2 linked regions of the Stegostoma tigrinum genome follow. The protein of the gene in region 1 purifies or fractionates together with the protein of each later gene. This does not show direct contact. Links are inferred from orthologs where the notes say so. Each region holds a gene or a part of one and is shown in the gene's direction. Other genes may lie near its edges. The genes, in order: aak1b and reps1.

What was found.
Region 2: the proteins of aak1b (region 1) and reps1 purify together in Homo sapiens (affinity purification with mass spectrometry; 3 studies listed by BioGRID and IntAct, counting the BioPlex papers as one, with this or other methods). This does not show direct contact. The link is inferred for Stegostoma tigrinum from reciprocal best matches to the Homo sapiens genes AAK1 and REPS1.

The regions. Positions count from the first base shown.
Region 1 is NC_081393.1:6,533,959-6,537,879, reverse strand, and holds the start of aak1b (AP2-associated protein kinase 1), read left to right. Parts: upstream 1-1,240; 5' UTR 1,241-1,605; coding exon 1,606-1,801; intron 1,802-3,921.
Region 2 is NC_081362.1:90,386,710-90,390,630, reverse strand, and holds the start of reps1 (ralBP1-associated Eps domain-containing protein 1), read left to right. Parts: upstream 1-811; 5' UTR 812-1,048; intron 1,049-1,362; exon of another isoform or gene 1,363-1,776; intron 1,777-3,921. UniProt on the Homo sapiens protein: May coordinate the cellular actions of activated EGF receptors and Ral-GTPases.

The DNA.
Region 1 (3,921 bases):
ACTTCTTCACCCAGAGAGAGTGGTGGATATATGGAATGCTCTGCCCCAGAAGGCAGTGGAGGCCAACTCTCCGGATACTTTCAAGAAAGAGATGGATAGAGCTGTTAAAGATAGTGGAATCAAGGGTTATGGGGATAAGGCAGGAACAGGATACTGATTGTGGATGATCAGCCATGATTATAATGAATGGTGGTGCTGGCTCTAAGGGCCGAATGGCCTACTCCAGCACCTATTGTCTGTAAGGCACCCGTGCTTTTTTTTCATCTATTCATCACGAGTAAATCATTTCTCCCTGTTAACTTACATGCAAAGCCCATTTTGTTTTTAGTGATATCCAAAAGTGTCTTTGCTCTTTAACACCATTGTGCAGGTTGACTCCCCGAACCGGTTTTGTTTTGTTTTGTTTTAAACCAATTAACCACCCAATGTCAACTTTTCCCCCAATGACTTTACATCCAAAGCACAGATGCATATTTTTAACTTATTTTTTCATCATTTCAGAAGTACTCTTTAAAATGAAAGGGTTTGGTCGCCCTCGCTAAATCACCCGTGTAATTTTTATCATCGATGAACCACTCGTTGGGTTTTCCAACTGAGTAATTTACAGAGCAAAGCCGTATGTAGAGAGTTGAAGATAACAAAATGTGAGGCTGGATGAACACAGCAGGCCCAGTAGCATCTCAGGAGCACAAAAGCTGACGTTTCGGGCCTGGACCCTTCATCAGAGTTGAATGTGTATTTAGAATATCCAAGTTTTTTTTTCTACGGTGATAATTTTAACAATTCCCAAATCTGACCTGCTGCCCACTCGCTGAGGAGAAAACCGTCGAGCCCGGCAACTGACAACGGGCAACGAATGCCGGGAATTGGAGCCCCGCCCGAGGCCGGAAGTCATGCGTGGCCGCAAAGTGCTCTGGGAACTGTAGTACAGTCGCCAGCCTTTGGCTCATCCAACCTTGACTTTATAAACTACAATCTCCGTCAGGCCTCTTCATAACATTCCGCACCACCGTCAAATCCCACACGCATGCGTACAAACTCCTGAAAAATAAACAGTTAAAAGGATTCCGCCGATATTTTCTTACCTTCCCCCCCGCCCCCTTACAACGAACGAGATTTTGATTTGTTTCTTCTAACATTTAACGACGTCTTTTCCGTTCGGCCGGGACTCCGGGTCCGTTCCGAGGGGCGGGGGGAGGAGAAAGAAGGAGGAGATCGAACCAATCAGCTGCGCATCCGGGTCACGGCGCGTTGTGTCTCCCTTCTTTGGGTCCGGCTTTCATGTCGGCGTTAACGACAAGAAAAAAAAGGGAGCCGGTTGTTTTTTCTGGTCCGCCCCGTTATTCCCTCCCCGTCTCTTCACTTTACCACCCCCACCCCCTCCAGCCCAGTTACCGGGCCGGCTCGGCGGTGGAAGCAAGGCCCGGTTTTTAAACCCTCGGTCGCTCGATCGACTATCATTTTCGTTGCCGTTATTACCGTGACACCACGTACATTTAAAAAATATATATATCGAGATTGTTCTATTTTGCCCGGCCGCGCGGGTCGGTGGCGGGGCGGACACAGACAGAGACAGAGACAGAGACAGAGAGTGATCGCCGAGTGATGAAGAAATTCTTCGACTCCCGGCGGGAGGCGGCGGGCTCGGGTTCGGGAGGCGGCGGCGGCGGCGGTGGAGGTGGAGGAGGAGGAGGCGGCAGCAGCGGCGGGGGCGGCGGCTTATGCCCCGGCAGCGGCTTCATCGGCCGGGTGTTCAGTGTGGGCCGGCAGCAGGTCACTGTGGAGGAGGTGGTGGCTGAAGGTGAGGAGCGGCCATGGACCGTGGGGGATGGAGGCAGGGAGCCGTGGCGTTGACAAGTGTTGAGGGATGGCTCTGCCCCTTCAGCACCGGTGATCCAGCATCCCCAATGATACTAAGCCCGCCACCCCAATATTACTGATACTGAAAATCTGCGACTCTAGTTACAGGTCCAGCATTCCTAATGTTACTGATCCTGCCATTTCAGCATCAGTGATCCAGCATTCCCAGTGTTACTGATCCTGCCATTTCAGCATCAGTGATCCAGCATTTCCAGTGTTACTGATCCTGCCATTTCAGCATCAGTGATCCAGCATTTCCAGTGTTACTGATCCTGCCATTTCAGCATCAGTGATCCAGCATTCCCAGTGTTACTGATCCTGCCATTTCAGCATCAGTGATCCAGCATTTCCAGTGTTACTGATCCTGCCATTTCAGCATCAGTGATCCAGCATTCCCAGTGTTACTGATCCTGCCATTTCAGCATCAGTGATCCAGCATTTCCAGTGTTACTGATCCTGCCATTTCAGCATCAGTGATCCAGCATTCCTAATGTTACTGATCCTGCCATTTCAGCATCAGTGATCCAGCATTCCCAGTGTTACTGATCCTGCCATTTCAGCATCAGTGATCCAGCATTTCCAGTGTTACTGATCCTGCCATTTCAGCATCAGTGATCCAGCATTCCCAATGTTACTGATCCTGCCATTTCAGCATCAGTGATCCAGCATTCCCAGTGTTACTGATCCTGCCATTTCAGCATCAGTGATCCAGCATTCCCAGTGTTACTGATCCTGCCATTTCAGCATCAGTGATCCAGCATTCCCAATGCTACTGATCCTGCCATTTCAGCATCAGTGATCCAGCATTCCCAGTGTTACTGATCCTGCCATTTCAGCATCAGTGATCCAGCATTCCCAATGCTACTGATCCTGCCATTTCAGCATCAGTGATCCAGCATTCCCAGCCTTACTGATCCTGCCATTTCAAAATTACTGATCCTGCCATTCCACTGTTGCCGATTCAGCAATTTTGGCATCGATTATCCAGCGATCCCAATATTTCGGATCCTGCCATTTCAACATCCGGTATTCCCAGTGCTACTGATCCAGCAATTTCCAACATTATAGATCCTGCCATTTCAACACCCAGCATTCCTAGTGTTAGTGATCCTGCAGTCTGACTGTTGCTGACCCAGAACCCCAACATTGTGGATCCTGCCATTTCAACATCAGTGATCCAGCATTCCCACTGTTAATGATCCTGCAATCCCACATTTGCTGATCCAGCAAATTTAGCATCAACTATCCCTCAAGTTGAAACTAGTCATCCTACATTTATAACATTAATTATCTGATATTCACATTATTTCACATCCAGCTATCCTACTTTAATGATCCAGCAATATCAAGATTACAAATCAGCAGCAATATCAATATTTCTGACCTTGCAATCCCACTATTACAGATCCTGGAATTTCAACATTTTTGCTTTTTGAGATCCCACCATACCACAGTTACTGTTCCAGTAATCCTACCTACTATTACTGATTTTACAATCCCACTATAGCTGATCCAGCAATCACACTGTTGTTGATGCTGTAATCCTACGATTACTGATCCTGCAATCCCAATACTTCTAATCTTACGTTCTAAGTATTACTACTGATCCTGCATTTACATTAGTAGTGATCTAGCAATCCTACTTTTATATATGGGCTATAATTTCAACGTTATCAATACTGATTCAGCAGTTCCAAAATTAATCATGTGCCCGTCCCAATTCTGTGATTTCAGTATAATGTATCTTGCATTTTCAAGACTGATCCAGCACTCTCTATTATTGATCCTGCAATTTTAAATATTATGATCCAGCAGTTCTGATGTTACTGGTCTTGTAATTTCAACAAAACAGATCCTGCAATTTCATCAATACTGAAACAGAAATTTCAAAATTAATGATGTGCAAATCCCAATACTGCTATCTCAATATCACGTGTTCTGCATTCTCTATAATAATCAAACACTCCCAATATTACTGATTTTGCATTTTTAAGTGTGATGACCCAGCAATGCCAATTTCCTGCAATTCTATTATCACTGATCCTATATTTCCAAAATTGC
Region 2 (3,921 bases), on another chromosome or scaffold:
TGTCTGCATTCAATGACAGGAACGATCAAGGGTCTTTCCAAAGTGACATTCCAGCCCCTAACTGCACACTGTACCAGAAAATTCACACTTCACATTTACTTCCACTCTAAAACCCTTCACAAACAAGCCCTCTCGTTCTGAATTTTTGAAGAAGGGTCTAGGCCCGAAACGTCAGCCTTCCTGCTCCTCTGATTCTGCTTGGCCTGCTGTGTTCATCCAGCTCCACACCTTGTTATCCCTCTCGTTCACAACACTTTTACAAGTGGGAACAATTTCTCATTTTCCACTGTCTCAACCCCTTATGATCTTGGGCAGAACAGCCTTCAGTGGCACACGCACTAGGACTTTGAAAATTTCCATCAAATGTCCCCTCATCTTCGGCCTCTCGACAGAAAATTTGCAAGTGAAGAGTTCATGCAGCCCGGGGTAGTAGAGGGTTGAGTATTGGGAAGAAGTGAGGGGGGGGAAAGTTGGCTTACACCCCCTTCTAGAATCAGGAGCAGTGTGGTCGGTACGAAGGAGGGAAATACAATTTCATGCTTCTACAGAACATTCCAATCTTGAAATGTGTCACTAGGCTCGAAACATTAAACCTGTTTCTCTCCACGCAGATATTGGCAGGTATGCCACATTTTTCCAGCAATTTATAAAATTCACCCCCCACCCACAAAATGGCGATCTTCCCGCCAGAAATAACGGCTACCCAGGGGGGCTGGGTATTGGAGGACGCGCGTCACGTGACGAACGGCTTTCTTCTGCTCGTGCAGTCCGTCCTATCGTCACGTGGCCAACAGATGCGATCCCCGGGTATCGCCCCGCCCACTCGCCCTTCGGGGCGGTGTAGGTCCCACCCTCCGTTCACGCTCTGAGACGGGACTCAACGGTATTGGCCGACAGTCGCCCGCGGTGTTTTCGTGAGTGATGTGGGTTGCAAGGTTTGGGGCGGCCGGTTCCTCTCGCGAGAACAGATCATCAGCCCACCCCCTCCCCCACAGAGTGATCTGATCGCGGGAGCTGGGTGGCTATCACACTGGCAAGACTTTAAGAGGTAATGGGGAAAAGGGGGCGGGGAAAGGGGCCGCAGCGAGCGCTCCTTCGGAGACTCCTTAAAGATGATTGTTGGGGGAGGGGGTGCTACTGATACATGAGATCACGTCCGTCCACGCTGCTTCGCCGCAGTTAGAGTTTTAGTCTTGGTGATCAGGGAAGGGCTAGAGAGGAACGGGCTCGGCCCCCGGGGTTTTGGGGGATGTGAGCGGGGGTGCCGGACCAACATGGCGATCCCGAGGGCGGCAGCGGGGCAACTACAACTCCCAGCCCGCACCGCGGCGCCCCCTCGCCTCCCCACTAGCGCGCAGCCGCAGATCTCCCGCAAGGGAAGGAAAGTGGCGCTTGCTGTAACCTAATCAGGGGCTGGGGGGGGGGGGAAGAAAGGCTATTGTTTTTGTGACTGCGGGCTGTTTTAATCAGGATACTGGGCAAATGCAACTGGGATGCAAATTCGCCGTGCTCCAAATAAACCGTGCAACAAGCCCGAGGTTCTTAGTGGCCTCTCGATGCTGTGCAGTTGTTTCATAGGCAACTTCTGTGTATTCAGGGCTGTGTTGAGGTTGCCCAATAATCAGGCTTGTATTTCGAGATTTGGTTTCTGTTTTCTACGTGTCCTTCGTCCTGTATCACGCTCAGTCCTCGCGGTCGGCGACTGCACCGCGTGTGTGAATTAAAGGGCGACAGGAGGTTGGGAATTCAACTGAAAGCTCCTGTAATAACAAACTGGTAATTTACAGTAAACCATTCTGTTTTCACAGCCAGTATTAGTTGTGTTTTACTTTTTATTGCACTATTCGTTTACAGTCCTGGGTTGATAAATTTGCTCATAGGTGATCCTGTTTGTATCCGCGGAATTCGAGGATGAGTTACAACGTCATGTGCTTTAGTCAGGGTTTTCGTGTAATGTTTTCCCGTTTTTAATCTCTAGTGATTCTATTTTATCTTGCCTGGTATGTGTACTGAGTTGGCTATCAGCCAGAGTAATGGTTGTTACTTGTACTCAAGAATTTGGAAATATCTGTACACTTAATTGCTATCCAGTTAATATCTCTCTTGGTGCTGGAACAAAATAGGATGGTATTGCATATTCTTATGATTACAGTATAAACGCTTAATCGTGACCTAGTACCAGATGATAATGTAACCATATCTAAGATTTGTTGGTTGGGGAAACATTAAGTTGGGGAAAGTTAGGGCAAGTGTTAGAACAAACATGTTTATGTTTGTACCCTTGCAGAAATTGTGATTTCTGTTTCAACAAAAGTCAATGTTTTCAGCCAAAAAAATGAGCAGTCAAAACTACACTCCTGTCCCATTGTCAGTTTCTGATAATGAGGGATGAACCTGTTGTTAATTACTGAAAACGGATTCATGTTCTCGGGGTTTGGCATACTCTTTTCTCCTTGGTCCAGACAAAAGCACTGGCAACTACTGTTGGTTTTCGTGTGCTTGGTTGCATCTTTTGAAAGTTCTTTGAATTTTAACTGGTATCAAGTGTCTAAATTTGATTAAAATAGAGTTGCAACAATTCAGGACAACAAAGTGTGGAGCTGGATGAACAGAGCAGGCCAAATGCTGACGTTTCGCACCTAGACCCTTCATTAGAAGGTCTGGGCCTGAAACGTCAGCTTTTGTGCTCCTAAGATGCTGCTTGGCCTGCTGTGTTCATCCAGCTTGTCTCGGATTCTCCAGCATCTGCAGTTCCCATTATCTCTGCAACAATTCAGTTCTGGCAGACTTTAAAGACAGAAGTAATTAATGCCTGGAGCCCATATGACCCTTTAGTTATATTTGAGTCATACTATCAGTTGCTTTCCTGAGAAACCAGAATTGCAATTGGGAATCATTGCAAATGATTTGAAGGTCTAAATTATGAGATATATTAGTGGCACGGTGGCACAGTGGTTGGCACTGCTGTCTCTCCGTGCCTGGGACGTGGGTTCAGTTCCACCCTTAGGTGACTGTACATGTGGAGTTGGCACATTCTCCCTATGTGTGGGTTTCCCCCAGATGCTCTGGTTCACCCCCCACCCCCCGCCCGTCCAAACATGTGCAGGCTAGGTGGATTGGCCGTGCTCAATTGCCCTGTATGTTCAGATGTTTAGATTAGTGGGTTATAGAGGAATGGGTTTGGGTGGGTGCTTTGAGGTTCAGTGTGGACTTGATGGGCGGAAGGGCCTGTTTCCACACTGTAGGGATTCTATAATAACAAAAAAAATCCAATAAACTAGTAGTATGAATTTTGATGACGTTTCAGAAAATTTTAATTCACAAACTACTTGAACTAAAATAGATAATTGCTTTTCTGTGCATTGTGCACCAAATTTTTGTGAACCATTCTGGTGTGCCCTTATCCAAGGAGAGAGATACTGTTATTGGCGGTAGTCCAGAGAAGGTTCACAAAATTAATCCCAAGAATGGAGGGATTTTCTTGGCGGCTTGGACTTCTACTCGTGAGTTTAGGAAGATAAGACAAAACATACAAGGGGCTTGATGAGGTAGGTGCAAAGAAACAAACGTGGAACACTGGGGAAAACCTCAACAGGTCAGTATCTTTGGTGAGAGAAACAATTAACATCTTGAGTCTTGTCTTTTATGACTACTCTTCACAATGGAGAGTTGTTTTCCCTTGAGTGTGTCTAGGACCAGAGGGTATAATCTAAGAATGAGAGATTGCACATTGAAGACAGATGACCCGTCATCTTTTTCTTTCTGGGAATGGTGAATATGATATTTTTTACCAGAGGGCTGTTGAGCCTCTGTCACTAAATTGTTTGATGGGCCATACGGCCTACTTTTGCTCCTCTGCCTTTTTTTAGTAAACATAATTTCCCTTTCATATACCCATGTTGATTGTGTCTGAACTTGAAT